Linked DNA regions of Canis lupus familiaris. The protein of the gene in region 2 interacts with the protein of the main gene of each other region in a pairwise test. Links are inferred from orthologs where the notes say so. Each region holds a gene or a part of one and is shown on either strand. Other genes may lie near its edges.

Region 1 (5,031 bases), on a different chromosome or scaffold from region 2:
TACCCCAAGGTATCCTAAGAAATATACAGTATGAACATGAGCAACCATGGTGTCAAAAAACAGGAGGTGAGAAGTGCCAGCTAGTCCTCACATGAAAATCTAAGAATGGACTGGAGGTTGAAATGTGCCAGAAGTGGGCTCAGATGCCAACAAGTCAAGATTTGTGAAAGCAACCAACAGGGATGTTGATAAGGTGAGTGGGAATTCAAACACAGCCCAGAATCTGGCGGGGGGGGGGGCGTCCCCCAGAAAGCAACAACAGGGTGCAGGAGCCCATGGACTCAGAGGCTCCCTCCATCCAAGCTGTTGGGATGGACCAATGCTTTTACTCGCTGTGAATGGCCAGTCCTCTTACGGCGCCGTGACCAGATTTTCTTTCCTTGTGTATCCAAACTACGCATGATCTGCTATCTCGGGAGTTTCGTCAGCCCTTGTTCCCAACCTGGAGAGAATCCGAGATGTATGTTTCCAGCCCTATTAAACTTGTGTCCTAAACTCACCCACTACACACACAGACGCACGCACTCACGTGTGCAAGCGCACATACACACACATACAGATGGTATGTGGCGTCTAATGCTTTTTTTTTTCCAGATGTGTGACTTCATGGGGTCGGTGAGCTGCCCTTTGCACGGGGTGGGTCAGTGGCTGAGGGTGAGTGCCACCTACGCTCCTAAGCGGAAGCCCTACCCAGGAGCCCTAATCCGGCCAGGGCCTCCCAGAAGCCAGGCGGGCGCTGTCCAACTTCAGCACCACTCCCTATGCCTGCACGACAGCGGAGGTGGCAGGTGCAGCGCCATGGCCCCGCAGGGTTCTGGTCCTACCTAGTTTTTGCATGCATGCACGGAGCCTTTCTTCAAGATTGGACACTCTGCTCTGAAGTTCATCGTAGTCATAGGCGCCAATTTCCTCTTGCAGCTCGTTAAGCACTGACGTCAGATTCTGGACCTCCTCCTTAAATTGCAATACCAATTTGGCATCGGCCTTGTACTCTTCCAACACAGGTATCAAAGGCCTAAGTTCATCCATTTTCGCTTTTATCGCCTGCAAGGTTAAAATAAGCTGGGTTCAGTGCTCTGCGTGCAAAAACTTGCAACACCCTTCCTTGGCCTGGCTTCTCCCCGGGCGAGGGAGCATGTGTGTACACTCCTGTTTCATTTATGGGTTTATGTATTCTGGCCCAAGAGAGTTAGAAGAGCATATTAACCAGTCTTCAGAACACCAACATATTTGGGAAAGGTCTTTATTGTCAGTTTAGAATGCAACATCTTAAGGTTACATGCTTTTAGTCACACACACAAAGTTTCTTTTTTTTTTTTTCTTTTTCAAAAAATGCATTGACAAGGGTTTCAAACTATCCATGGAATGCATCTACAGTCGCATGCAAAAGAGGATCCTGGTTGTGTTCAAGGTTCCTTAGTGATATGGTGCTAAGTATTGGAAAATAATAGTAAAAATGCATGGTGCAAAAGCTCTCTGACCCTCTTTCATGGTTACATGGGAGTGGACTGCTTCTTCAGTCACTGCAGCATTGAAAAAACTCTTTTAAGTTAGCCCTGCAAGCAAGAAAATGAAATACCGTTGAAGAGCTACCTCACTAGCCTGCCTTAAACAGACAGCCATTCATAGACAAATATTTTCATGGTCACTTAAAAAAAAAAATCACACTTCATTGCCAGATTTAGTCCAAACCAACGGCTTTAACGGTTATAGAGATTCCCTCACAGTTCCTGGTGGAATTCATAATGCAATTAAAGCATGGTCAAATGCCAGGGGTTGCTTTTTTCTCCCCCGGGGCCATACGGCCCCAAATTTTGGAACTGGGAGAGACGCCTGCGTGGACAGTGCCTGCAAAGACGAGCTAGCCCATGGTGGCTAAAGATGCCCCCGTCTTCAGAGGAATTGGAATCTACCATGGCGAAGGGAATGCTGGCCTTTCAGGGAGAGACACAAACTCTTTGGTCAGGCGGGTCGAAATTTCTCTCCGAGATAATTCACGATGACGTGTCAGAAGCAAGGACAACATGTTCACCTGCCTCCAACGTGAGCAATCGGCTCATTGCTCCTCAAGAGGATCAGGCCTGCCATTATTTTATTTATAATATAGATTTATTACTTCGTTAGCCTGCCGTTTCGTCTATATAATGTATCGCTTTTAAAAGCGGATTAGTTCTTGCTTCATGCAGGGAGCACATCAAAGGAAAACATTAGCATAAAAAGGACAGGAAGACAGAGCATCAGCAATTTCTAGTCAAGCGGGGCTGTGTAATTTGACCTGTTCATTTATATCCGGCCTAGATTGCTAATTAACATGCATGTATACCTTAATTAAGGTGCATATAATTTTTCAATTTGATCATTTTGAAGCTGAGCAAACTAGAGGCATATATATATACATATTTCTATATATGTATATATAATTTTAGGTCAAACTCTGGCCTTAATGTCCAGAGTTACCCGGAGAGAAGAAAAACGAAAACAAAAACCACTTACCAGGAAGTGAGAAAGATGTTGGTGTCTCTCTCTTTCCTCCCTGCAAATCTACAGTGTGCCTTGTCATAGCTAAATTAGGTCAGATGTGAAAAATTGCCCTGAGTGATCCCTGCTCAGAAATGGCTCTAATCAATTAAGTTAATCCTTGGCTAATGTGATTTACCTACAGCAGCTGCAGAATGACAAGGACCAGTCGTGTCCCTTCCCAGCTCATTTGTGCACTGGCTTGAGAAGCCAGGTCCTGGGACCCCAGCCTGAGAAGCTAACGGGAGCTGAAAACCACTGCTCCATCCATCCATCCAACCATCCCTTTCATGGGCCCTTTTGCCAAACCAGGGCGAGGGCAGCCCGCCTCTCCGTTCCCAAGGATGGAGGCCGCGTTCAAGGCAAAGGGCAATTTCTGCAGGGCTCCTCCCCCACCCCGAGTTTCTATTTCTGGAGGGGAAGGGGATGGCAGGAAAGGACAAGGAGAGGGAGGATACATACCTTGAACTGCCTGGCCAGGTGTTGCTTATGGCTCTCCTCCACCTGTTTGAACTTGGACTCCAGCCCTTTCATTTGGTTCTCCATCTTCTCCACGTACTGCAAGTCCCTCTGAGTCCGCCTGTCCAGGACCTCTATGGACTGAGACATGTTTTGCACCTGCCAAAAAGGCAACAGGTTCAGGAAAGGAGCGGCAACAGGCGCCCACGCCTGCCGTCATATCTGCCTCTTAATACATGACAGTGACCTTTTTTTCCATGCGGCCGACGCACTGGGAACCAGAGGCGGCCCATGCATTATTTACCAGTTAATCACCAGCGTCGGGGAGTGTTATGACCAAGAACTCCCCAAACAGAGCAAATTGGTTTGGTAAACATTTCCTCTGCCATGTTCCAGAATGCTTGCTCTCACAGCCAGGGATGCAACAGGAGCCCCGGGTCCTCCCTGCTCACAGCTCCAGGTGTATATGGCTTTGGGTGACCTTTTTTTTTTCCCTCCTTAATTGTCCGGGGGATGGTATTGTGTCTCAGTCTCTTTATTCTGCAGGATGAAACGGGTTAGGTGGGCATAAAAACCAACAAGGATGAATAGTGCTGTCGGGCTCCCTGCACCCCCGGTGGAGGCTCCCTGTCCCCCTAAATCTCACTGGAGTCCTGCCATGAAGCTCGATCGCAGGAGCGTGGAGCCAGGCTACGAGGAAACTGCTCCCCCTGATTGTGCATCAACCCTTGTCCCCATCTTGCGCGCCATCCATCACGCCCCACGGTATCATAGGTAGATGACTGCTCTGCAAACACACACATTCAGAGCATAGAGTCAGGAATCAATCACCCAGCAAATGAAGAATCGCTGTTTTACATCTTTGCAGGCGGATCTGAATTGAGTCTCGCCTCAAGATGGAACTTTAATATTCAACAGGATTCCAGAGAGCTTAAAAGGAAAACAGTTTTCATGCAGCCACCTGCCAATGCATTTTATTTTTGGGAGACTGGCTGGTGCTTCTGAGCACATGCATTTGGGGCGGTGGGGAGGCGGATGGAACTCAGGATTGCGCGGTGGCGTTTGGGTCATTTCTCAGAACCTCATCCAATTACCAGGGACGAAGCAGCTACCCTCACAAGCACAAGCAAATCTCCATTTCTGGTTCCTCGCTGCCTTCGAAAATCCTCTCCCTTTCAGGAACAGAATCATTTGGGTGTGACACGTAGCTCAACTCGGTCAGTGAAAAGATGACAGTGCGGTTTCTACCACTTACGGTACATCCTCCACCCCCGCAAATAAAACAAAGTAAGAGCGCAACCGAAAGAAAGGCTTCTCAGTAGGAGAAAAACCGATATTACTCATTGCAGCATTTTTAAAATGCCTGGGATTTTTATGGCTCGTTATTTAAAAGTGACACACAAATCCAGTTTAAAAATCCAGGTATGTAAAATACAACACGTGGGTGACTCTGACGTGCTCTGATCCTGTCTCTTGAGTCGTTTTATGGGGACCTGGAAAATATTTGTTCTATTACTTTCTATCTCCCTGCCCCTCCCCCCCGCACCTGTCTGGTTCCGTCACAGCGAATGACCCGCAGGACTTCCTTTGAGAACATTTGTGACTTTTGGTTCCCTTCATATTTCAAAGCACAGCCCAGCCAAACGTCACCTCCTCCAGAGAGGCTTCCATGATGTGCCAAGCCAGAAGCAGCTGCATACCACTCGGAAAGAGCATCACCTTGTTGGCACAATGCCTGCCCAGCAGTGACCCACACATCTGTCTCAACCACGTTGCTGGACAGGAAACATGGAGCAGGAGGGGACTGGGGCTTTATTCACTCCTACAGCCGCAGCCCATGGCCTTGCCTAATGTGTTCAGTGCCTCCTGTAGCCACAAAGATGGGAGGAGGAACAGAAGTGGCCGCTCCAGTCAAGACCCTTTTCCCCTCCTGAGACAAAGGATTCTTGATGTGTTGGCAAAACCCGCAAGAGCAAGGGCTTCTGTGTGCCGAGCGGATGGGTCCGCGCCGGCTCCGTCTCAGCCTCCAACCGGGGCCTCACGCAGCGCTACGGG
Region 2 (5,487 bases):
AAGTCATTAACATCAAGAACAAACAACATAAGACTCCCAAAGGCTAAAAGTCTTATGTTACTAAATGGTGCTGGCTGAAAAATGGCCACAAGTGGTCTAGGCTGTGCCAGAGGCGACTGTCCCCACCCCTAGGAGTGGCTGCCAAAAATGTCTGGAAGCAGGGCTCTCTGCTCACTTTGTATGAGAACCCAGCTTATAAACTGATTATTATCATGATTATCAAAACAATGAGTCTAATTCTAATAACATTAGTTTAAAATGTTACCTATTTTTATACTCAAAATCTTTGCTTGATACTGGATTTTTAGATCTTACTATTTCAAGATCACCACTGTACCCTCTCTTTGTTCTGAAGGTCTTTCATTGAACTTTGGCCAAAACCACAATAAAACTCAGACATCAACAACTTAATTTCTAATCATTTTCCAATCAAATCTTTAAGATCATTTTAAAGGAAAAGTTTTAATGCACGTAATAAATCTTTACTTATTTCCCAAATTAATGTCTTGATGATTGAGTAATGAGCAAGTATTACTTTTGTCATTGAACAAAACAATAATAGTTTGCATCCCAGTCTTAAGACATTTAAATTGATTAACAAAACACAGAAATGGGTTACAAGAACAGAGATGTGAAGCTATTTGCCTGCATTGATGGGATCATAGTGATTTTTAATGTTCTTTTTCTTGTTTGTTGTTTTCTGTGCTTTCTGTGATGACTGTGTAGTGCTTTTGGAAGAAGAAAAAATAATAAGATAAATTTCATTTGGGAAAGAAATGATTTTGGAATGGTTTCTGCAGCAGACAGACCTGGCATTCACTCTCCCTCGGATGCACAGACTTTCTCTAAAGGTCCATTTCCCTCTGGGGGCATCTCAGGTGAGCAGTAAAGTCCCTAGAGAAATATACAGGGTCCCACCCCTGCACGATAATCGTGACGCTGCAAGCTTCAATACCAATTTACACCTCTTGTGCCACCTTAAGAGTTCTGGCAAACTTAAATGTTTAAGTAAAACATTTTTGAGATTTCATTTATTGTCTGAGCTTTGCAATGAATCCTCGAGATATGTCTTTCAAGATCTTAATGCTTTTTCCCTCTGCAAATTTTCATTATTTGTGCAAGAAAATAGTTTAAATGGGATTTTAAAATAGGGATGAAAAAAATTAAGTTTATTTCAAAACCTCATCTGCCAGGGCTAACAATTCACTCATGAGTATATACACTTATGTATGTAGTGAAATTATTTTTTAATGTTTTTTTTTTTTTTAAGTAATCTCTATGCCCAATATGGGGCTTGAACTCACAACCTTAAGATCAAGAGTCACCTGCTCTACTGACTGAGCCAGTCAGGTGTCCCTCAGATTCTTTAAACATGTTAGGATATATATTATCTCCTATAATCTAACACAGGTCTACTCTGAACCACGGCTTGTCTCCATAACTTCAGTTTTGCCAGTGGTTGAGAACACATTTGCCAGAGGCACCCACCCTAGGGTTCTAATCGTGGCTTTACATAAACTGCTACGTGACCTTGGGAAAGAGGCAAAATAATCCTGAATCTCAGCTTTGAATAGAGAAAATGAAGATTATAAATATCCAATGCACAAAGGTTCAGGATGGATTTCATCAAAGGAATTCCTGAGAGTGCCTGGCACATTATAGGCTCTAAAAAATTGCAGATGTTATTATTCCCTGCTAGTAGCAGTCACGTCTTATATTTGCGTAGTGACTCACACTCTTCGAGGCACTTTCAGATCTTCTACCCCATTTGATCTTCAGGCAGCTCTATCAGCACCAAAAGCACTAATTGCTACCCCTACCTTTCTTGTCTTTGGTCTTTTTTTTAAACAGATGAGGAAACTGAGGCCCAAGGTTACAGAGCACAGAAAGCAGATCCAGGCTCTTTTTGGTCAGTAGCACTGATTTACAACAAAACCTCAAAAAGCCTTCGGAGGCCGTGTCTGGATGAAATAAAATTAAGTTTCTTTTAAAATACTCCATTACTGGGGGACCTGGATGGCTCAGTCGATTAAGCATCTGACTCTTGATTTCAGCTCAGGTCACTATCTGGGGCGATCACGAAATGGAGCCCCCATCCAGCTCCATTCAGTAAGGAGTCTACTTGAGATTCTCTCCCTTTCACTGTCCTGTCCTTTCCCCTCTCTAAAATAATTAATAATTTTTTTTTAATAAAATAGGAACGCCTGGGTGGCTCAGTGGTTGAGCGTCTGCCTTTGGCTGGGTTCCCCAGGGTTCTGGGATCGAGTCCCGCATCAGGCTCCCTGCAGGGAGTCCGCTTCTCCCTCTGCCTGTGTCTCTGTCTCCTCTGTGTGTCTGTCATGAATAAATAAATAAAATCTTAAATAAGTAAATAAATGCTCTGCTATTTATACGTTAATCAAATCAAATTGGTATTTCCACATCACTCCAAATTATTTAGGTTTCGCTCAGTAAAAACAGGAACTAAGGTTATTCAGAGCGCACTGTGTATCTCAGGCACTGGAGTCCGCGCTCCAGATTCACTGCCACATTGAAACCGCATAACCTAGGAGGGAGGCACGGACACTGCCCCCACTTTACAAATGGGTAGACTGAGGAGTGAGCGAGTCCAGGCTGGACTGTCTCCAACTCCCAGCTCTTGGGACTGTCCCTATCCGAGCCTCATGTGTCTAACCGAGCACACGTTAGGGTCAGGAGCGAGCCCTCCTCCATTTGAGGAAACCCAGGTTCCAAGAGGCGGGGGAAGCGTCCGGAGTCCCCGGCCCCCTCCCGGCGCAGCAGGGACACACCCCGGGGCACCGCGACTCCAAACCCGGTTCCCTGCGAGGGAAGTCCTGCATCCGCCGCAGGTGCCGAACAGTGCGACGGCCGCGCCCCCTCATTGCTGACAGCGACGAGCCGTCCCAGCCCTGGGTGTTGACCGGGGGTGGCGGCGGGACCCGCGTCCGGGCGGCGCGGTGGGAAGCGGGAGGCGGCAGCGCTCTCGGGGCAGCGCCTCGGGAGGTGCCCGCGCCCCGCGCCGCCGCCGCCGCCGCCGCCGCCCTCCGCCCGGGTCCCGGCCGCTGGACCCCGAGAGTCGCGGGCGCCGGCCCAAGCCCGAGCCCGCCGCGGGACCCGCCGGCTCGCAGGGGGCGGGGGCGGGGGCGGCTGGGACCGGACCCAGCCTCTCCTGCCCGCGCGCCCCGCGCCCTGCCTCGGTCGCCCCCGCCTCGCAGCGGCGCGTGAGCCCAGGTGGTGGCGGAGGCGCAGCCCCGCCCCTACGGCCCCGCCGGGACTCCCCGCCCGGACTCCCCGCCCGGACTCCCCGCCGCCCCCGCCGCGCCCCTACCTGCGCGCGGGCCCCCGCCGCCTCCGGCCGGCGCGCCTCGGGCTCCCGCGCCCAGCATGCGCCCCAGCGGCTCCCGCGGCTCCCGGGCGGCGGACAGGCCCGCGGAGGGGAAGCGACCGCGCGCTGGACGGGAAGTGGGGCGGGGGCGGGGGGCGACGCCGAAGGGGAGGCGCCTTCCTCCGCGGCGAGGCGGCCGCGCGGCGGGGCCCCCAGCGCTTCCCCCGGGCGAGGGCGAGGGCGAGGGCGAGGGCGAGGGCGAGGGCGAGGGCGAGGGCGAGCCGAGGGGAGCCGCGCGGGGAGGGCGCGTGTGCAGGGGAGACGGCGGCCGTCGGGGTGCGCTCTGCGCGGGCGCCTCCCCGACGTCGCCGTAGGGAAGTGGCCGAGGGGTCGGTGCAAGAGACGCAGGAGGTGGGGGCGGGGAGGCGGGACGAGGACAGGCCACACGGCAGAGAGATGCCAGAGCAGTTGCTCAGAGATGGGAATCCAACTTTCTGACTCTTCTGGCAGCAGTGACTGGTCCCAGAGCCCCTCCCCACGTTGGCCCCCGGCCCAGCAGGCAGGCTGTGGCCCTGGTGGAGCTCTTAGGGCCCCTGACTGATGTCCTTCACCCCTTCCTTTTGGTTCAACCTAGGAGGCTGCTGGAGCACCTCCCCACCCCCACCCCCACCCCCTCCCCCACCCCATATAGCACCTGCCAGAAATGGTTCTTGTCCTTAAGGACCTCACCTCCAGGGGGGAACATAAACATCTGCGTATAAAACTAACTAACAATATACATGCCGAGAGCCAGAGGCTTGGTTGGCATTAAAAAATGTTGCAGAATTCGAGGGCTAAGAGAGTATTTAAAGTGTCAGGAAGCCTTTCTGGAGGAAAGGGAAGGATCTGGCTAGAAATAGAGCGCCAAGATGCTTGAAAAGATAAGACCCCGGGACGCCTGGGTGGCTCAGTGGTTGAGTGTCTCTGCCTTTGGCTCAGGGTGTGGTCCCAGAATCCTGGGATTGAGTCCCGCATCGGAATCTATGCGGCGAGCCTGCTTCTCCCTCTGCCTATGTCTCTGTGTCTCTCATGAATGAATGAATGAATAAATAAATAAATAAATAAATAATAAATAAATATATAATAAATAAATAAATAAATAAATAAATAAATAAATAAATAAATAAAATCTTTTTTAAAATAAAATAAAAGATAAAACCCCTGTGGGTGCAAACACAGATGCGCTTGAAAGCCAGCATGTTTGGGGACAGGATGACTATGAATATGGATATTAAGGAATGTGGGAAAACAGTGGAAGGAACACAAAGTTGGATCAGGCTGGATTTAATGATATAGACCACTAAATGGAGATCTGGAGTCAGTGATTTAGTTTGAGAGATTAGAAGGGCATCTCACTTTTTGTTCGGTTAGTTGACTTAAACATGGACCAAGAGGTGATCTACATTAAATGCTAGAGGTGGCGATGCCAGACTTGTCTTGGAATACTGTAAAGGAACTACCCAAGCGCTTAGGGAGATTGGAATATTGGAATGAAATTATCGTGTAAAAGCTGCTCTCTGGGAGGGTCTTGAGGACACACCTGTCACCATGACTCCGGTAAATAGCTTTGCGACCCAGTATCCTTGGTCATTCTTCTCTGTGGGTCAGAAATTACAGTGGGAATTGCAACCACTGAACTGGGACCCTTCAGTGCAATGGGGTTAACTGGATCTGAGGGCGGCAGGAGCCAATGGTGGCAATCAATCACCATCGGCAAGGTGGGTATATTTGATCATGGTGTTCCCTGAAGTCAAATAGATGAGAAGTCTACTAAATTCTTACTTGATCTGTTAAGCGGAAAAGTTCTAGGTCAAGGGAACAAAAGCTTAACTTGCTTCCAAGTTAAAACAGAGGGACTCAGACCTTCAATCAATTCCCAGACTTGAGTCAGTTTACAGATCCAGAACTCCTCGAATGAAGGAGGAAAGACCTGGAACACTGCCAAAACTCTATCCTGTTACTCTTTTTTTTAGCCTCCCCCAAAGGGACATGTGGCCTTTTACAAAAGTGAACCTGCAATGGGGGAAAGGAAATAATCAGACCTTTCGGAAGTGACTGGACCCTGGCTCTGAGCCAACACGAATTCCAGGAAGCCCAAACCATCTTTGTGTCCCACTAATCAC
Region 3 (5,031 bases), on a different chromosome or scaffold from region 2:
TGAAAGGGAAGTCCATTAAATAATTTTTACTACTTGAAATCCTGTAATGTTTTACCTTATATTTTCCCTGATCGCAGCCACATAAAGTACTTTCCATGGTATAGCTTCTTTGTACTCCTATCTCCCTCCAAACTACAACACGTGCTGTGGATTCCTTAGATTTTTCTACTACAAAGCTACAGCTGCTCATGCAAAATGCTGGGGCAATATGGCTCAGTATCTTAGGTAAAGTCTGCAAAGATAAGAATGATAAAATATTTCAAGAAGGTTTTTTTTAAATAATAATTTTTTTTCATTTTAAAAAATTTTCATGAAAGCACAGTGATTAGAGCAGGGCCATGTGGATCTTCTTGCTTTGTCCCCGCCTATTCTAAGCATTAAAATAATTCTTTACTAATTTAGAATTTTCTATTTTCCAAGACGAACAGTAATCAGTTAGAATGGAAAAAAGGATCACTTTCACAGTAGCAACCAATAAATGAACAAAACCTATTCTAAAAAATGTTTAAAAAGATGAAAATAAAACCCATGTTTAAAAAACAAAGCAACTTTAGTCATGAAAGAGGACCTGTTAAGAGATTTAACATTATAAATATCAATAACCTCTAATTAACCAATAGACCTAAGATAATCACAATCAACATGCCCATGACATTTTTTTCAACTTCCTATCATTCTCAGGTTCACCTGGAATGTGTAAGCATGAGGACACAGCCAGGGGCACTTTGAGAGAAGCTTTGACTAGAGAAAAGAATCCAACAGATATTAACCTAATTATATATGTAGGGGAAGTTAAATTGTAATACTGTGTAGGAGTAGATACATTTCCAGAAAGAATTCAGAATTAGAACCAAAGGCAGATGTTAAAATTAGAATTATTAGTGGGGAGAAAACTGATCACTCTCTCACTGCTGGCATCACTGCAGAGCCACTGAGAGAAATAAGCCACACTCTTTAGTTAAGTTCAATTCTAATTGGACTGAGAATTTAAACTCATAAGGAGTAAAATTTCAAAATGAAATTAAAAACAGTAAACATGGAACTTCATTTTTTAAATCCTGGGATGAGAAGTCTTCCTAAACCTCAAACCCAAAAGTCATTAAAAAAAAAAAAAGAAAAAGAAAAAGAAATTAACAAATATGATGCAAGGTTGTTGGGTTTTTTTTGATACAAGTTTTAAATTACCATACATAAACAAAAACATTTTTTAATGTATTTGTTGTCTTAAAAACAGTAATAATTAGAGGACCAGTATAAAAGTAAACAGAGAATAGGAGAAAATGCTCCTTTCTAAAAAAAAAAAAAAAAAAAAGAAAAGAAAATGCTCTTAAAAGAGAGGGAGGGGTCATAATTGGGCAAACATATGAAGAAATACTCAACCTCATTTATAATTACAGATATGCAAATTAAAACAGACAGTTACCTGCCCCAGGTGGCAGCATGATGTCCTAAGGATGGGAAACAGCACTGCCAGTCATTACATAGGGCAGTATACAATCTTTATGTAGGGCAAACTGGCAATACTAATTAAACAACCACTAACAGGTCAGACGACTAAATAAATACATTTTGGTACATCTGTACAGTGATAAAAATGAACAGCAATGCACACTGGCTGTGGTGGCAGATTAAAAACAGAACTTCAGGGATCCCTGGGTGGCGCAGCGGTTTGGCGCCTGCCTTTGGCCCAGGGCGCGATCCTGGAGACCCGGGATCGAATCCCACGTCGGGCTCTCGGTGCATGGAGCCTGCTTCTCCTTCTGCCTATGTCTCTGCCTCTCTCTCTCTCTCTGTGTGACTATCATAAATAAATAAAAATTAAAAAAAAAAAAAACAGAACTTCATACACTACATGTATATATACTTAAGAACAAATGTGCTTAGAGCCAAGTCTCACAAAAAATATGGTAGAAATAAATGATTAGTGACTGAGAGATGATGCCTTTCACTTACTGTGTTTTGTTTTTGGAGTTCCCATTTTTTTTTTTTTTTGGAGTTCCCATTTTTTATAGAACTCTAATCATTTTATTTACTTGGGAAAGGGGAAGAAGAGAGAGGACACCAGAAAGAAAATGGCCCTTGAGTTTCTGCTCATAGCAGTGGTATGCTACTAAAACTTTTTTGGGAAAATAACCTGAGGTGCTTTGTTGAAGCACAAATACAGTAGGAAAACCACTGTGCCTGAACAGAAAACACCCAGGATGTGAGACAGCAAGATCTCCTTTCAGTCCTGGGCATGCCTCAAAATACACCCAGATGCATGGAAACATGGTATGTAACAGATGGCTTCATAAATCAGCACAGGAAGGAGGTACTGTTGAATAAATGGTGCTGAGACAACCGGCTATATATGGGGAAGCTAAAATTAGATCCCAAGCCCTTGTACAAAAATAAATTCCCAATAGATTAAAAATCTAAATATGAAAAGCAAAAATTTTAGAATGTTTAACATGAAAAAATCTGAAACAAAAAAATGGCAAAATGGCAACACTTGCTGAATCTGACAAGTTCGTGCATGTTATTTTTCTATAGAGCTTTGCATGTTTGAAATCCAAAAACTCCAGACTTGTGGGTAATAATTACCCTGTATCCTCCATCTTCCACAACATCACATGAAGTGGCATTATCGTTGGTATGCCATACTGTCTCTTTGATGCTGCAGCCATACATAAATACATTCTTCTTTCGGGAATGGCCATGATAATCACAATAAACCTTGAAAATATATTTTAAAAATTAAAAAACTTCAAATTCACATATTTCCAAATAAAGCTAGTTAATATCAAGACAATTAGTAGAGGTCTGTGTTTCTTTGTCCTTTATATTGTAACTGAGCCACCATTTAACAAGTAGAACTAATAAAAGTAATAATATCTAGTTCTGAAAAGGATCTATGATTAATTCCAGAATGGCTAAATCCTTTCTAGAGCCTGCATCAACCCACCACGAGCTCCTCCTTTCTTATGTATCTACTATTCACCACTTAAAAAAATAAAATTCAATTATAGGTCAAATTTACAGCAGCAATCATCACTGATCCAAGGATTATTAAAACATTTACTTAATTTGAAAGAACATGAAAATGCTCTCAAAAACACTATCTAAAAAAAGATATGGTTTCAATTTAATTTTTAAGAGCATTATTTTTAAAATGAATAATGAAGAACAGGCTTATATATCAATGCTGTTCCTTCTCTAAAGTTTTCCTATCTTTCCCAAAGGAAGATTACCTCATTTAAACAATAATATAATGGGAACATTATACACAAAAGCTGCTGAATACAGAAGCAGCATATATACACAATATGCATAAGAAAGTTAAGTAAAGGGCTCCTGGCAACTATAAAAATTAAACCTGATGAAATAAGAATATGGATACATTGTATTAATTTGACATCATTATATACTGATATTACGTAATTGATAACAGAAGATATTTTAAAGAAATTGCCTTTAAAACGAACACTTTTATAACCATAAAATTAAAAAATTAATAGACTTAACAAAATCATTTCTTTAAATGATACTGAGTCTTAATTAAAATACTGAGTCTTAATTAACAAAATCATTTCTTTAACTAGACAAAGTACAAATACTTACCAGTGGTAAATGTTTCACAGCAGCCAGGTATTGTAGCAGCCCCTTAGCATGGTAAATTGTAGGATGTAAATCTGGATTTGGACTTTGCCATTGTCTATTCAAATCCTCTCCACTTAAAGAACAGCGGTGACTACACATATGTAAAACACAACCACAACAATAAACTCTTACATATATTTGACTTAATTTTATGATTTTCAGTTGAGAACTACTTAACAGTAAATATATTAGTCATTAAATAAAAACTTATTATTTGCTTTATGTAGATTTTGTGTTTCATGCATTTAACTGTGCTAATAGACTTTCAGATATTTAGGTCAACATTTTCAAGCTACAGAAAAAAAAAAGTAGGAGTGCCTGGGTGGCTCAGTCTGTTGAGCCTCTCACTCTTGTTGATTTCAGTTCGGGTCATGATCTCAGGGTCATAAGATCGAGTCAGGCATCAGCAGGGATACTCTCTCCCTCTCCTTCTGCCCCTCTCTCTGCTCACACAGGCACACACATTTGTTTTCTCTCAAATAAATAAATAAAATTTAAAAAAAAGAAAAAAATTAATTCTCAATTCTGGAGTCTTATTCCAGGCTCTATAAAATTTATTAATGGTCACATTTTTTATTCCGACTATGTAATAATCATTTGTTATATATTAACATCCTGTACTTTGACTGTATTAGTTATGTAAATGTGGTATCTGGGAGGTGCCTGGATGGCACAGTCGGTTAAGTGTCTGACTCTTGATCTTAGTTTGGGTCTTCATCTCAGGGTTGTGAGTTCGGGCTCAGCGTTGGGCTCCAGGCTGCACTGGAGCCTACTTTAAAAAAAAAAAGAAAAGAAAAAGTGCTATCTGGGCTGGGCCCTCTTAAGAAAGAGAAGCATAAGAAAAATCTACATTCTTGCAAAAATCAAATATATTTTCATTTAATTGCAAGTATGAAGTATTAAAAGCAACTGAGCAAAAGTGTAAACAAACTATCAGAAGGTGGTAAAGGAAATATAAACAGAATTCCAACTGGTGAGTATGTTCGTGAATTAAAACAAGACATAAAAATCTCATTTTAATTCCATAACACACTTCCTAAAAAGAAATTATTCTAGCTTTTTCATTAAAAAAGTTCCTAAAATGTGAGAAATATCCATGCTACCTTTATTGAATAAAATTTGGTATCCTCAGATTTGCAGATATTCATGACAGCAAAACCAAATTACCATTGTTCAGAAACAGAGACCATTTCTAATTCCCACAAAAAGAAAACTGCACTAATTGTAAGCCATTTCCAATTATCTTACAATATTTTCAGTCTAGGGATCCCTGGGTGGCGCAGCGGTTTGGCGCCTGCCTTTGGCCCAGGGCGCGATCCTGGAGACCCGGGATCGAATCCCACATCGGGCTCCCGGTGCATGGAGCCTGCTTCTCCCTCTGCCTGTGTCTCT
Region 4 (4,711 bases), on a different chromosome or scaffold from region 2:
GAGGCGGGGACATAGGCAGAGGGAGAAGCAGGCCCCCAGCAGGGGGTGGTGGGGTACTCGATCCAGGGATCAAGACCTGAGCCACCCAGGGGCCCCTCTTGGGTTCTTTATATCCTGCATTTGCTAAGGTGACAGTGGATTACTTGGAAAAAATTTTTTAAATGCCATGAAGTGCAATTATGATTACATTGATTCTAGTATCTTCTTTTCATTTAGATTATGAGGCATGGTGTAGGAGCAGTTCTCCACGACCTAAATGAGGAAAGCTTACTGGCTTTGGTGAGTTTGTTCCAAGAGAGTGTTTATTTCTTAAACTTATGGTAGGTTGTACCACGCCCTCTATATCACTGAAAGGAAATATTTTCTAAATTGTGTAAAAGAAAAAGCCAGGTCTCTTCTCTGGGTGTTATTTTACAAGCTTACTATTTATTTACTTAAGATTTTAATTTACTTACTCTTGAGAGACACAGAGAGGCAGAGACCCAGGCAGAGGGAGAAGCAGGCTCCCTGCGGGGAGCCCAATGCCTGACTAGATCCCCGGACCCCGGGGTCACACCCTGAGCCAACCACTGAGCCACTGGGTGTCTCACAAGCTTACTATTTAAAAAATGATCAACCTCATGGGCAAAAGAAAGAGGCCTATGTGAGCACAAACGGCTCTGTGTGGAACTACGTAGGGTATTTAATAAACTAAGCATTTGATATACTTTGTTAAATGCAAACGTTGGATTCAGAGGAGCGAACTAGTATAGGTTTTAGGAAAACTCAATTGCAAAAGGACAACCCTAATGCCTTTATATTTGCATTTTGCTTTCTGTAGGTGCATTCATCTTGTTAATCAACTTAGCTACATAAACAAGAAAAGGAAATTTCAACTGTTCAAAGGTATGGTTTGGGTAATTAGTCAACCTAATTTGTTCTCAACTTTGTTCTTTTGGGGAGAGTTATGTTTAAGAATGAGGGCAATATTTGAAAAGTCACTACATGATGCACACTATAATCATTCATCCTTAAAATACAACACAAATCAACAGCTACAATGCTTCTTTATTTTAACAAAAAGGATATAAGGAGGGTGAGAAAATAGGGGGATGGTAAGGTAGGATGTAAAGTGTGGGGTGTCTCTGGACACCATCCCGCTCTTCCTGCCCCACACCCAAAAGTTATTAAATAATTTAAAGGACACCATTTACAGTACCAGAACACCATCAAAATAATTGTTTTTTTTTTTTTTTTTTTATCAGGGTCAAAAAATACAGTGATTATGAATGTGCTGTGACCAGTTATGGAATTTTACAGGTAACATAACTATAGTCAGCAGTCCAACGGCGTGCACAGTGCCTTCAATTAATGCACTTGAGCATAATTACATTTCTGGCAGGGTCCACACCCCCAAGAAAAGGCAAAGCTAAGCATTTCATTTCTACATTCTAAACTCTGGAATCACAGAGCCCAGTTTAAAAGAAAGTCACAGTGGATAAGAGATGCCTATAAAAAATACAAGGTGTTCCTTTCAAATCAGAGGAATTGTGGGACTACATTCATTTCTTTTACAAAATGCTATTTAAAAAAGGACAGAGAATCCAGTTCATTGTTATGCTACAGGCTGAGACAGGAGTGAGTATATTGCGTGTTTTGGTAGTCGGTCTTCAGGCTTCCTTTCATTTTCCCCCATAGCCCCAGGTTCCTTTTGGGTGAAACACGTGAGTCCTGAATGAAACATATAAAAATGTGTTTGCATCTCTCTTCTTGAATTCTGCGGACTTCGGAGCCCGCAAGTCATGTATCCTACCATCAGTGACCACGATCTTTTCTTTAGCTTTGTATACCTATTCTTGTAGAACAGTGCATTGCACGAATGTACAATACTGGTTTTCATCTATACAGTTTCTGTAATAATTATGGAGTAAAATAAGTTAACTTTTCTAATGAGAATAGCTGACGGGCAGCATACATCTTTATTTTACATTTTAAAGTCTCTGCAGGCATCTACTTTGGTTAGTTATCAACAATCGTAACGTAAGCACTGATCAGAGAACTGAGCAGCATTCCAATAACATTAACAGATATATTATTTCTTTTCAAAATACCGGGAAAGCCCAGCTTTAAAATATTATTAAAGTGTTCTAACATTTACACACTATGAAGAGTTAGATCTAATAAAATAAAATTTCTTCAAAAATAATCTTGCAGTGCTCTTTTAGGCATGCTCTGACATGTTATCACCAAACATCCATACCTTGAAAATAGGACTATCACATACTCACACATCCCCGCTCACACACACATAATCCCTTATACAGACTAAAAAACAGAAACACCCACGCCCTTATCCCACGTGTTGGGGAAAAAAAAAAATCCAATGTTTTTTTTTTTTTTTCTTTTTTGCAAATAAGTCTGTGTATATCTATCCGACTGAAGGTTCTTCATGTAGATGATTAAGCGTCAGCTGTAGAGTATGCTTCTGGCTGCTGGAAATCTAGGCAGCTTGGCAGGTCTTCAGCTAAAATGAACGAGCCTGGATTTTAGCCTCATGTCACCTGCTTTCCAACGTCTCAGTATTAGAGGCCATTATTGCAAACAGTCTTGGAATTCTCTTCTTTCTCCAGAAAGTAATGTATTTGTATGCATCACTTTTAGCCCTTTTCTTTTTCACATGGGTTAAGTAATTAAAAAATTCCTTCTTCATACAGTTAATTGTGGGAGGTATTGGCAGCTGTTAGATTTCTTTTCTTCAGATCTTGGGTTTTGCCGTTCTTTATCTGATAAAAGCTTGGCATTAGTTACACTCTGGTTCTGGATGCTGCCAGGAAAAGTTATCAGTGAACTGCAAGGGTTTATAAAAGGTGCCCATTAATGTTCTTCGTCATCTTCCCTAAATGCCTGAAGTTTCTCAGAATCCAGTGCTCACCAAATTTCCAATTGGTTTGGCCCGTGCTAAAAGCTGGTATGATTGCACTATGCGTAGAGACTCTCTTATTTCTAGATTAAGTTCCATCAGTTTGTAGTTGGCTTCTGACATGTCCAGGTCAGAGCCTATCACTGCAAAGCTTCCCGTCTGGCCCAGTGTCTGATGATGGAAATATATGTGTAACAGCGTCTGCACGGGGTCATCTTCACAACTGCCAAAGATATCATTGGGCCAGAGAGACCTGAAATACACAATATTTTTAAGTCCTGAGACTCAAACAATTATTAAAAGTAAGTACATTTTAAATTAATATCTATAGCAAAATTTCCTTGTGAATCATTGAAGATCTGTTTTGATATTTGAGCAAATGTATTACTCAGATTAACGAAGCCTGACACCTAAAATTGGTGTCATTTCAGTGATAACTGTAGAAAATATCAAAGTCATACTTTCATAAAGACATACTGAAACATTAAAGCCCAAACCCAGTCATTGTAAAATCCCAATCTAGGTTTAGAGATAGGAAATCCCTTCACATTTTACCTGAAAGCTTTTACTTGTGCTACAGCAGATATAAATTCCTTATTTTTCAAGGTTTCAATTAAAGAATGAATGGCAGTTTCTATAGTAGTTTGTGCGGCTTTGGAGATGTCAATTTCTTCATTTTCTGAAGCCGACTCTGCTTCTTTGAGGATATTTTCCAGTTGGGCAAGTTCCTCGGACATGTTGATGACCTAAAACAAATCAGTATACCTTGAAAGGAGGATCTATTTGTATATCGAGTAACAAAAAGGGCATTTAATTGGCAGTAAAGATATATCTGATGATAGGCATCGTTTTTTTTTTTTTAAGATTTTATTATTTATTTATTTATTCATGAGAGACACAGAGAGAGGCAGAGACATAGGCAGGCTTCATGCAGGGAGCCCGACGTGGGACTCGATCCCAGGACTCCAGGATCATGCCCTGAGCTGAAGGCAGGTGTTTAACCGCTAAGCCACCCAGGCATCCCTAGGCATCGTTTCTCTTAAAGATTTGCAAATGTTAAACTTAGTGGTTTAAAGGCAGTTAATATTTCAAGTTCTTGATTAGGTAGGCTACCAAAGAGTAGTCTTCAAATACTCTTGATAAAGTAAAAGGATATAGGAGCGCCTGGCTGGCTCAGTTGGTGGAGCATGTGACTCTCCATCTTGGAGTCGTGAGTTTGAGTCCCATGTTGGGAAATGTTATGATAGATGTAATAAAACTGGTCATAACCAATGTTTATACTGGTTTTAGCGTGATCCAGTTGCACCTTGGATAGTAAAAATCATTTACTGTTATGGGGGGGAGGTTGTGAATTTTTAACATCAAAGGAAAAGTACATTTTAAAAGATTACTTATCCAACGTATTTTATATAAACCAGTATGTATTTTTAAAATTGATTTAACCATTTAACAAAAGTGTAAGCATTTCCCGTTTCAGGACCAGCTCTGACAAGGGGAGGGATAAAAGACTAAAGTCCCTGCCTTTGAACCTATTCATTACATGATTTCCAACATTCAAAGAGTTTTTGACCTGTTGATTCTTATGTACATCAGTAGAACTACAAAAATATATGGACGAGATGTTCGGGGGGAGTTTCATAATTTAACTGTGTCTTTATTCAGCTGATGTGCTTTCCTTGACTTCCGGTTACAGATGGTCTGTTGTTGCTGCTGTGACCTGTAAGGTCTTGAGCCTGTCAAGACCGCTGGCTATGTGCTGTTTTATTTACTGACAGGTCTTGAAATAGCGCAGTGTTTCTAAAAAGACAATCC
Region 5 (5,031 bases), on a different chromosome or scaffold from region 2:
CGAGCGTCCGTTCTGGGGAGACAGGGTGCTCAGGGTGCTGACCGCCCCACCCTTCTCTGCCCGCAGCCCACACCTGCCGGCCGCAGCCCTGCGCACACTGACCTGCGGCTGTGGGTCTGACCAGAGCAGGTCGCACATGGGACCTGGGGGGGAGGAGAGGGGACGTCAGGGACTGGCCCACCCCACAGCACAGGTGGGGTGGGGGCTGGGCAGGGCATCCCTGAGCAGGGGCATGTGAAATAGGGTTCTGAGCCTCGTGACCTCCCCTTCCTCCAGACCCATTCAATGTATTATGGCCCCACAATGGGAGGAACTTTAAACAGTATAGCTCAGATCACACACCCCTGCTGTTCAAAGCCTGCTGTGGCCCCCACTGCCCTAGGAACAAAGCCCAAGCTCACCACTCAGGCCTGTGAGGCTCTGCGGGGTCTGGCCTCATCAATCCCTTTAACGTACATCCTGGCTTACCCCTAAACCACTGGCCTGCCAGCTGTTCCTCCCACCTGCAAACTCACCCCTGATGTGGGGCCCCCTGTGCTTGCCCCAGACATCTTCTATGTGGCAGGTGTGTCCTTCCCCATGAGTTCTAATGTGGCATCCCTAGAGAGGCCATCCTAACCTCTTCAGGCCCGGGCAGCACTTCCCACAGTTGTGTGCATGTGCATGAGAACGCTCCGTCGGTCCTCACTGCTGGAACAGGAGCCCTGATTTGTCTGTCACTCTCTGGGCTCGGCAGCTGAACTCACAAATGAGTGACCGATGTGTGCTCCCCGTGAACACAAATGCTCCCTCACCAGCCCAGCCCCATGAAGGAGGTGCGGCAATCAGAGGACACAGAGGCTCAGCCTTGCTGTCCTTGCCGAGGGTGTGAAGCCCACCCGGGGCAGGGCCACCCGTTTCTGCTGGAGATGCTGCAGCCCTGGAAAGGAAGGGGCTGCCACTCAGCCCACCCTGGTCACCTGAATCTGGGGGCTGCCGGTTCCGCTCGATCTTCCTGATATCGTCCAGGGTGACGCCGTCCTCACTGAATAAGCCCCCATGCATGATCTGGATGTGGGAGTGACACGGCTGTGTGAGTGGAGGCGCCAGCCACACCCTACCCCTCCAACTTGCTTCACCAGCATATCTGCCTGCGTGTGGCCCCCATGGGTGCGGGGGTGGGAGGAGCCTGAGGGGTCCTATCTGCCACCCTCACCAGTACTTTGCCGTTGATACACTGGGCCAGTGGGAGCCACTCGAACACTTCGCTGAAGAGTTCATACATCTGGGCTGTGTATTTGGCCTTCACCTCTCCCTCGAAGCCATAGATCTGGTTCATGTTGTCCGTCTCGTGGTTGCCTGGCCAGCAGCACAATGAAGAGAAGCTTCAGCATCCCCTGCCTGGGCGCCCCTGGGGCCCACGTCCTGGGACTTAGGGTGACTGCCTGGCAGCCCCAAGCCCACAACATTCACACCTCTGCTTTTTGGCCCTTCACAGAAACCTGACAAGGTGCAGACACTGTTCTCGGTCCCTTTTCTGGAGGGAGAAACAGTCTGAAAAGCACACATCAGGTGTGTGGCCATGAGGTGCAGGCCTGGTTCAGCCTTGGGCTTCATTTTGGAGAAGCCTTGTGCCTTGTAAGCCAGAAGGACCAAGGAGGGGCCTGCTACAGAACACCTATTATGGGCTGGCCTCGTGCTGTGCTTCCAACTTCCCACACACAACCTCATTCTCCCCTCCCGGGTTCCTGGGGCTCAGGGGAGACAGAGAAGCTGCCCAGGCCCCCATGTCTGCTGAGTCTGGATTAGTCAAGTCTTCTGCTAGACCCACCTCTTCACCACCTCCTACAGAGAAGCCCACAGCAGGTGGTTACTGAGCACTTACCGTGTACCAAGTGCTGTTGTGTGAGCCCCCCGAACCTGGCCATGAACCTGGCCACCACTAGTGCTCAGGCCCCTGGGAGCCCCAAGCCCGGCCCACCCTTACCCCCTCCATCTCTCAATGGACAGGACCCCCCCCTCCCCCGGGGCTCCTTGTTCCCTGGCGAGCTCATCCTACACAAGGCCACACTGACCCCAAACCCTGCTGCTGCCCAGCTTACCTCGAAGTAGGTGAAAGTGATCTGGGTACAGGAGCTTAAAGCCAAACAGGGTGAGGATCACTTCTACGGAAAAGGAGCCGCGGTCCACAAAGTCGCCATTAAATATCTGCTCTGCTAAGGAAAACGAGGTGGGGCATGCACTGCCTTCTTCCCCTGCCTTTCCAGGTCCCATGGCTCCCGGTTCTTTCCTAGGAGTGGGGATGTCAGCAAGCCTGGAGGATCTGGGGTGTTCTCTCTGGCCCGGCAGCTGGGCCTATCCGAGCCTCAGCAGGACAGTCCTGAGATCCCCCACCTCACTTGTTTCTCAGGGAAACAGATGGTAGAGGGGGACATGAGGTGGTCAGCTCACTTTGCTCCCCCTCCTTAACCAAATACAAGCCCAAAACCATAGGGGAAATGGAACACAGACCCTCCCACCGCATACTGTGCAGGCCTGGTGGCCCCACACGGTGGCCATTAATCAAGCAATTGTCATAACCTCAGCAAACACTTATACAGCTCTGTGAGGCTCAGAGCCTCAGCTCTTTGCAACCCTCTCAACAATGAGGCAGACTCTACGATCCCCGTTTTTCAAACGAGGAATCTGAGGCACTGAGAGGAGGTATTGCTAACGGTCACACAGCTGGGAAGTGGCGGTGCCTGGTGTTGTTACACATATGATCTTGTGGCAGCCTCATCTGGAGATGAAGAGAGGCTGGGGCCCAGAGAGACTGAGCCACCTGCCCAGGTCACACAGCATGCAGGGAACGAGCCCTGGCCTATCTGGTGCTGGCCGGCCACTCCCACCACATCCTTGTGCCTGAGCAACTGGTCAGGCTTCTCCCTTTGCAGGTCCACGCCTTGCTCTGTGGCAGGAGCGCCTTTCTCAAATCCAGGTGGAGGAAGGGGAGGGTGTGCTTTTCTGAGGAAGGATACATAGGGGTTGGTCTCCGAGGGTAAACCATTGAGCTCAAATATGTTGAGGAGGTCATAGAACTGGCCATGAGTGTCCCCGCACACCGTAATCTTCTCTGTCTGGAAGAAAAGAGGCCACCGGAGAGGGAGGGGCCCAGAGAGAGACGTGGGGAGGGGGCAGAGGTGAGGGGAGAGGCAAGAGGTCACGGGAGACCGAGAAGAGGCATGCAAAAGACACAAGCAGGGGACACAGAAATGGAGAGGGTGGGACAAAGACCAGGAGGGGAGAGGGACATTCAGGGGAGAGGCAGGAGGTGGGGGGAGAGGAAAGGCAGACCAAGCCAGTTGGGTCTGTGAGTTTCTGAGCTCCACAGCCCCTCCCCAGCCAGGGAGCCCCCCACCCCTGGCCAGTCCACACACCACCCAACAGTGCGCACCTCTTTGAGTGTGGTCTCTACGAGCGTGCTCAGCTTGGAGAGGGCCTCTTTGACCTGTACCAGGATCTGGAAGGGAGGGCAGGCTGTGAGCGCAGCCGGTGGGACTGCCTGCTGCCCACTCCGGGTCCCGGAGAGCCTGGGCTGACCAGGAGGCACCACTGAATGCAGGGCAGGGAAAAGTGGGGGCAAACTGGAGAGCACAGAACTCCCCCAAAAATCTGGCTATGGGGCTGAAAATCCGAGTGCTCCCACAGTTCTGGAAGCTGGAGACCTCACAACTTAAAGACATTCCCAGGATGCTACCAGGGCTGAAGGAGAGTCCTGATTCCAGTGTGAAAACACCACGAGTCAGCGGTGACCACCAAGAGCTGCGCCAACTGCAGATTGCCGGGATTCAGCCCCTCACACCAGTGGCCTGACACAAGATGGGGCCGCCATCTTCGGCGGAGAATTCTTACTCAGCTCAGTCTCTACCGTTCTTTTACACAAAATGTCTGGCATACGATTTAAAAAAGGATGAGACGCATGAAGAACAGACAACAGAAGCAGACCCAGAGATGACCCAGATGGTGGAATTACCAGAGACTTTAAAATAACTATGATAAATGTGTAAAAGATCTAGTGGAAAAGACAACGTGCATGAACATATGGGGCAGGGAGATGAAAACTATTAATAAAAATAACTAGATGGAAATGCCAGAAACGAAAATGCAGCATCAGAAATAAAGCCTTCCTCTGCACTGCTCAGCACACTCCCCACTCGGTGGTGCCGGCTGCCGTGGCCACCCTTCTTCTCAACCTGCCCTCCGTGGCTGAGGCTGGGCACTGCCAGCGCTGCGATGCTATTGTGGGGTGACAGGTGTGAGCAGCGCCTGACACAGGCCTTACCTGGTAGGCGCATTTCCGGTGCAGTTTCTTCTGGTCCTTGTACCACTGCATGAGCTCCTTCATGAAGGTGATTGTCACTTTGCCATCCTCGAGCTTGGGCCCACTGTACTCATCCTCAATGGCTGGTGTGCGAATGGAAAGCAGGGGCGAGAGTCAGTGGCCGCAGCCCTCAAGGTGGTGGTGGGGGCAGGGAGGGGAGGCTGGCTCCTGGGCATGGGCGAGAGGCCGAGGGAGGGAGAAGGTCCCTCCCCTGCCCACTCCCTTCTGCTCAGGCCAGCTCTGCTAACCTCTCTGTATAGTGAGCTCCCTCTTCCAGCACCCCTCCCCCCTGCTGCCTACTTGGTTTTATAGCACTTAACACAGTTAATTCATTTGTTTACTTGTTAATCATCTCTCTCCCCACCAGGCCATCAGCTTGATGAGGGCAGAGACTATTTTAATCGCAGCTGTATCCCGCCTAGAACAGGGTTTGGCACCTAGTAGTTATCTGTAGAACGAGTGACTGAATTGTATGAGCACCCGGAGGACTGAGACAAATCCCACTGGGAGGCCCATGAGGGTGGGGTGGGCTGTACAGATGCTGGTAGGAAGCTGGGCCCTGGCACGGGGCAGGAGGGGCTCGCCTACCTCGCCTGAACCAGGGAACGCAAACCCTGGCAAACCTCGGCGGCGTGGAACTGTGGAGCTCCCAGGAGCGTAGACAGAGGAGCAACAGACATTGGGCTGGGGAC
Region 6 (5,031 bases), on a different chromosome or scaffold from region 2:
ATCCTATGTACCAAGCTGTGATTAATTCCTAGATATAAAAAGAATAAAAAGCTGTTAGAGGTAAAAAAATCTGTGAAAAAGGAAAAAAAATCTATGTATTCATTTTTCTACTTTTCGGATATTTATGACAATGTATAAATATACATACATATATATTTATGGAATTTACTTTTTTATTCAGAGAATGTCCCAGTGAACAGAACCACTTCCTCAGTCTTTTATTTTTATGGTTGCACAGTATTCTAAATACATGGGTTTACTATAATTTATTTGAAGCATGAGGACTTGGAAAGCAGTATTTTTTTATTTGAGTAGAGTTGACACACAGTTACATTAGTTTCAGGTGTACAGCATCCTGATTCCATTTCTCTGTATGTTATGCTGTGCTCACCACAAGTGTTACTGCCATCTGTCACCACACATCACTATTACAGTATCACTGACTAGATGCCCTGTGCTGTGCCTTTCATTCCTGTGACTTAGTCATTCCATAACTGTAACGCTGTCTCTTTCTCTCCCCTTCACTGATTTTGCCTCTTCTCCCAATCTCCTTCCCTCTGGCAACCATATGGTGACTTTTAAGTAATCCATTATACATTGTGCTTTAACTAATTTCTGAAATGACTAAGTATGCTTGATGGGTTCATTAAATATTCCATGGCAATCAACGAAAAGGTTTCTAAAGTCTTATTCTATAATTCAGAAAGCAAGCCTTACTTTGCTGTGAGCATAGACCACTGAACCTAGTAATTTCCAAGTGCCTCCCCTTCGGTCCATGCGCACCATGCGGAGGATCTGTAGGAAACGGAGACTTCTGAGTGCGGACGTTGCAAAAATATTACCCTGAGTTTTTGCAGAAACAACTGCTATTGAAGCGATAAGGACAATGGTATCTGAAAGAAACAGGTTGAAATAACCGTAAGTAGCAGGACTTGGACGTTTTGTTGCTCAAAATAGTGTTTCAGAAAGGTTCGCTTTGACCTATCTGAGGCACAGATAAACAGATCCTGAACCCTAGCCTGGAGTAGTGGCTACCTGGGCTCTGTGACAATTGAAAAATGAAAGAACGGAGAACAGGATCTACTTATTACCTTGGTTCTGACTCTTTGGCCACTGTATGCTTTACCTATGCAATTCTGTATCATTTGCTACGTAACCTTGGACAAATTGGATGGACAATGGCCTTTGGAAAGTTGAGTGTTCCAGGGAGTTCTAAGGCTGTATTCTTAGTTCCAGGGAGTACTAAGGCTTGGTTTCATTTGCATTCCTGTCTGGCAGAAAGGAACTTCTGCCTCAGCCCTACCCTGGAGGCTTCCTTCTTAATGCCATAGAGAGATCCTACCCTGCATGGCTATGAAAGTTCTTCTTGGTATAACCATGTCTCTTGTTTTCTTTCCAAAGAAGCTCGTGGCTTCTTTCTGCAAAAAATTCCCTTGTGTTGTGGAGTCTGCAACTTCATATACTAACAAAGGCCTCAGCTAAGTTGGGCACTCTAAGCTCTCTGGATAGAGTACTCTTTATACCTGGTCAGTCAATTATGTGTAAGTTTGGTATACAAATTAAATAATTGTACATTTATTACAACAGAGTATTAATTATCTTCACTGTGCATTGCATGGGAATGGATATTTGATGTTTGGCGTATTGGCATTTGACGTAAAAAATATCTACCCTTTTGCAAGCTAAGAAAGAGAAACAGGGCAGCTAATGAAGGCATAGAAAAGATAAAAGGGGACTTAATTGCTCCAAGGGCAAATATCTGAGTGATGGGAAGTAGGCTTTGAAGTGGGAGAAGTAAAGTGGGAATGAATGGCCTCCTATGGCAATTTTAAAATAAGTTAGCTTGACCTTAACATCCTCAAATAAAATTTCTTTCCTGCTCCAAGTGGGCTGTGCATGACTGGGCATCCACACTCCAGAGAGGAGTTCCACTTCAAGGGCATTGGATTTATAATGTTTCTGTGATCCTCAGGATTAACTGCTGTATGAATGTGTATTCATCATCCAGCTCAATTCTTTTTCCTGTACTGAGAGAAGTCTCATCTCTGGATGTGGACTGAGTAGGTCTTTTGAATGACTCTCCTGGTGCCCCTTTTGGTCAGGATTTGGAGTGGCTGTCAGTACAAGGGTCAGCTGAAGGGCTTTTTCCAATCAGATCTAACCACTATATGACTTTGTGGGTAGGGGCACAGAGAGCCACAAGCAAATCCTTGAGTTATAGCTCTATGCAGCTATTAGAAATGGGAAGGAATTAAATGTGTTGACACAGACACCAAAGACATATTTTAAGTGAATAAGAAGGCACTTGCAAAGCTGTATGTACAATGTGATCTTATTTTAATAAAAAATAAATGACTAGGAAAATCATACATATATATGCATGCAAATATATACAATATATGTATGTAAACACATGTAAATATACACAATATATACAGATATATACAATAATATGTATATATGTATACAATAATCTGTATATCTGTATGTATATATACACAGATTCTTACCATTAATTCTCTCCAGAGGTAGAGAGTGGGGTGAGTATGTGGGTAAAGGGACTTTTTACTTTCTAAGTTATTAATTTCTGTAATACTGAATTTTATAATAATGAAAATGTCTTTTGAAATCAGAGAAAATCTTTAGGAAAGAGTTAAGTGTAAAAACATCTCTTGATTTGCATCATTTGGAGAGATTTACTCCTGAGACAAGTGGTTTATAGACAAAAAGACATTTCTTATATGGCCCTGCTAGATATGTATTTGCTTTTATTTCTCATTGTAATCCTGCTTCCTTCCAAGTGTACAAAGGAAAGAAAAAGGAACAATATCCGATTTACTGTGTTAAAATATTTGAGATAGTAGAAATAAGTAAATGACTTGCAGGGATGCAGAAAATACAGCACTTAAAACTTACTGCATGCCTGGCACTTTCTTTAGTTCTGTGTTTTTTACAAATGTTAATTATTTCATCCTTATAACAACTGTTTTGGTTAGGTCTTCTACAGATCCCATTTTACAGATGAGAAAAGTGAGGCACAAAAAGCACATATTGTATTAGTTTAGAAGAATCAGCTACTGAGCTGTTAAATTACTGCACAAAACTATGAAGTTAAAAAAAAAACAAACTATGAAGTTAGAATGAAGCTATGAAGTTAATTCATTAGAGAAAACCTAGACAAAGTAAAAGCAACACCGCCAGTTTGAGACTATTAAAAAAATTATGCACACAGTGAATCATAATCTAAGTGTTTGAAGTCACAAAATATGCAAAGGTAACTACAGATGTGATTTAACACCCTCATTGTAATTCAGATCAGATGAGAAAGTTGGAGTTCAGTAAAATGAAATCACAGATGAGCGACCAAATGGCAAACAATGAACACAGTCACAAAAATGTTTCTGGTTGGATTACAGTCCTCTACTGAATTTTGCTGTCAGTACCACCTAGAATATTTCCAAGGCCAATATTTTAGAAGTTATGACTACTCTTTATTTTTATGTGTGTATTTACTCTTTTTTGCAGTCTGCTATAGAATGGAGGCTCCACAAGGTTGGATACTTGTAGCCTAAGTACTTACAACAGTGCCTGAAACATGGTAATCACTTGATAAATATTTATAGAATGAAGTGAGATTAAACACTCAAGTTAGATTAGCTTGAGCTTTGTTCTGTTACCATATCAGTGTTTTAATAACTAGAATAAGAATCTGAAATACTCTTAAATTAATCAAGGGATCACTTCAAAATTCCATCTTGAATTCTATTACAACATAATAAATTATAGCTATCATTCTTTAAAGTGATAAATATCACTAAGATTTCCATTTTATAAAATTAGGTAGGGGCAGTCTTTAAAGATAGTGACATAGGAAGCTACTGAACTCCCTTCCTCCCACAGAGTCATCAAACAAACCATTGCACATGGACTAATTCCCTGTGAAGGAAATCCAGAAATTAGCCAAGGGACTCCTACACATTTGGTAAATAAGAAAATACCCATACTGGAATGAGTAGGAAAGGCTAAGACATAATCTTGCCTTAAACTTCACTCCTAGTCCAGTATCATACAAATGGGAGGTCACTCCCAAATTCCAGCTTCTCCCTGAGAGGCTTAGGGTTTGAACCCACATTTAGCCTCCTAATTTTAAAACTCCTACTTGAGGGACAGGACTTCCAAACGCCTTGCTCTGAAAGCCAATAGTCTTGAACTACAAGACTAGACTTGTAGTCTAGTCTACAAGACTAGAGCAAACAAAGAAGCAGCTATTAATGGGGGTGAGCATCATTGCGGCTACCACCCCAGGGCTCAGCGAAGAAGGAATAGGCAGAAAGGCCCATTTCAGTCTTTCTCTCAAAGGATTCTATTTGCATATTTTTAAAAAGTTTTAATTTAAATTCCAGTTAGTTAACATACAGTGTAATATTAATTTCAGGTGTACAATATAGTAATTCAACACTTCCATATATCACCTGGTGATGATCACAAGCGCTCTCCTTATAATCCCCATTACCTATTTTACCATATACGACAACCCCATAGCTAGCATCATAGTCAATGGTAAAAAAATAAGAGCTATCTCTCTAAAATAAGGAATAAAATAAGGATGCCCAATCTTGCCACTTTTATTCAGCATTGTATCTAAAGTCTCAGCCAGAGCACTCAGGCAAGAAAAAGAAATTAAAGATACCCAAATTGGAAAGGAAGAAATAAAACTGTTATTATTTGGAGATGATATGATATTATATATAGAAAGCACTAAAGATTCCACCAAAACATTATTGGAACTAATAAATGAATCAAGTAAAGTTGCGGCATTACAAAATCAATATACAAAAATAAGCTGTGTTTCTATACACTAACAATGATCTCTGAAAAAGAAAAATAAATCCTCCTTACTATAGCTTCAAAAAGAATAAAATACATAGGAATAAATTTAACCAAGGAGGTGAAAGATCTGTTTGATGACAACTATAAGACACTGATGAAAGAAACTAAAATAGACAAAAATAAATATATTCCATGCTCATG

What was found. The genes of interacting proteins can lie anywhere in the genome.
Region 1: the proteins of DISC1 (region 2) and OLFM1 interact in binary tests that used the Homo sapiens proteins (3 or more experiments, as listed by UniProt). The link is inferred for Canis lupus familiaris from reciprocal best matches to the Homo sapiens genes DISC1 and OLFM1.
Region 3: the proteins of DISC1 (region 2) and AGTPBP1 interact in a two-hybrid assay, tested with the Homo sapiens proteins (2 studies listed by BioGRID and IntAct). The link is inferred for Canis lupus familiaris from reciprocal best matches to the Homo sapiens genes DISC1 and AGTPBP1.
Region 4: the proteins of DISC1 (region 2) and FRYL interact in a two-hybrid assay, tested with the Homo sapiens proteins (2 studies listed by BioGRID and IntAct). The link is inferred for Canis lupus familiaris from reciprocal best matches to the Homo sapiens genes DISC1 and FRYL.
Region 5: the proteins of DISC1 (region 2) and PPP5C interact in a two-hybrid assay, tested with the Homo sapiens proteins (2 studies listed by BioGRID and IntAct). The link is inferred for Canis lupus familiaris from reciprocal best matches to the Homo sapiens genes DISC1 and PPP5C.
Region 6: the proteins of DISC1 (region 2) and KCNQ5 interact in a two-hybrid assay, tested with the Homo sapiens proteins (2 studies listed by BioGRID and IntAct). The link is inferred for Canis lupus familiaris from reciprocal best matches to the Homo sapiens genes DISC1 and KCNQ5.

The regions. Positions count from the first base shown.
Region 1 is NC_049230.1:51,049,782-51,054,812, reverse strand, and holds part of OLFM1 (noelin), read right to left. Parts: intron 3,136-5,031; coding exon 2,980-3,135; intron 1,557-2,979; coding exon of another isoform or gene 1,551-1,556; exon of another isoform or gene 1,228-1,550; intron 1,045-1,227; coding exon 825-1,044; intron 1-824. UniProt on the Homo sapiens protein: Contributes to the regulation of axonal growth in the embryonic and adult central nervous system by inhibiting interactions between RTN4R and LINGO1. Inhibits RTN4R-mediated axon growth cone collapse.
Region 2 is NC_049225.1:8,246,493-8,251,979, forward strand, and holds the start of DISC1 (disrupted in schizophrenia 1 protein), read right to left. Parts: upstream 3,407-5,487; 5' UTR 3,387-3,406; coding exon 3,329-3,386; intron 1-3,328. UniProt on the Homo sapiens protein: Involved in the regulation of multiple aspects of embryonic and adult neurogenesis. Required for neural progenitor proliferation in the ventrical/subventrical zone during embryonic brain development and in the adult dentate gyrus of the hippocampus.
Region 3 is NC_049222.1:74,591,867-74,596,897, reverse strand, and holds part of AGTPBP1 (cytosolic carboxypeptidase 1), read right to left. Parts: intron 3,731-5,031; coding exon 3,601-3,730; intron 2,716-3,600; coding exon 2,584-2,715; intron 233-2,583; coding exon 56-232; intron 1-55. UniProt on the Homo sapiens protein: Metallocarboxypeptidase that mediates protein deglutamylation of tubulin and non-tubulin target proteins.
Region 4 is NC_049234.1:45,000,259-45,004,969, forward strand, and holds the end of FRYL (protein furry homolog-like), read right to left. Parts: intron 3,646-4,711; coding exon 3,455-3,645; intron 3,153-3,454; coding exon 2,894-3,152; 3' UTR 1,028-2,893; downstream 1-1,027. UniProt on the Homo sapiens protein: Plays a key role in maintaining the integrity of polarized cell extensions during morphogenesis, regulates the actin cytoskeleton and plays a key role in patterning sensory neuron dendritic fields by promoting avoidance between homologous dendrites as well as by limiting dendritic branching.
Region 5 is NC_049222.1:110,161,629-110,166,659, forward strand, and holds part of PPP5C (serine/threonine-protein phosphatase 5), read right to left. Parts: intron 4,423-5,031; coding exon 4,301-4,422; intron 3,479-4,300; coding exon 3,413-3,478; intron 3,096-3,412; coding exon 2,997-3,095; intron 2,188-2,996; coding exon 2,082-2,187; intron 1,339-2,081; coding exon 1,196-1,338; intron 1,048-1,195; coding exon 960-1,047; intron 144-959; coding exon 103-143; intron 13-102; coding exon 1-12. UniProt on the Homo sapiens protein: Serine/threonine-protein phosphatase that dephosphorylates a myriad of proteins involved in different signaling pathways including the kinases CSNK1E, ASK1/MAP3K5, PRKDC and RAF1, the nuclear receptors NR3C1, PPARG, ESR1 and ESR2, SMAD proteins and TAU/MAPT.
Region 6 is NC_049233.1:35,492,548-35,497,578, reverse strand, and holds part of KCNQ5 (potassium voltage-gated channel subfamily KQT member 5), read right to left. Parts: intron 894-5,031; coding exon 718-893; intron 29-717; coding exon 1-28. UniProt on the Homo sapiens protein: Pore-forming subunit of the voltage-gated potassium (Kv) channel broadly expressed in brain and involved in the regulation of neuronal excitability.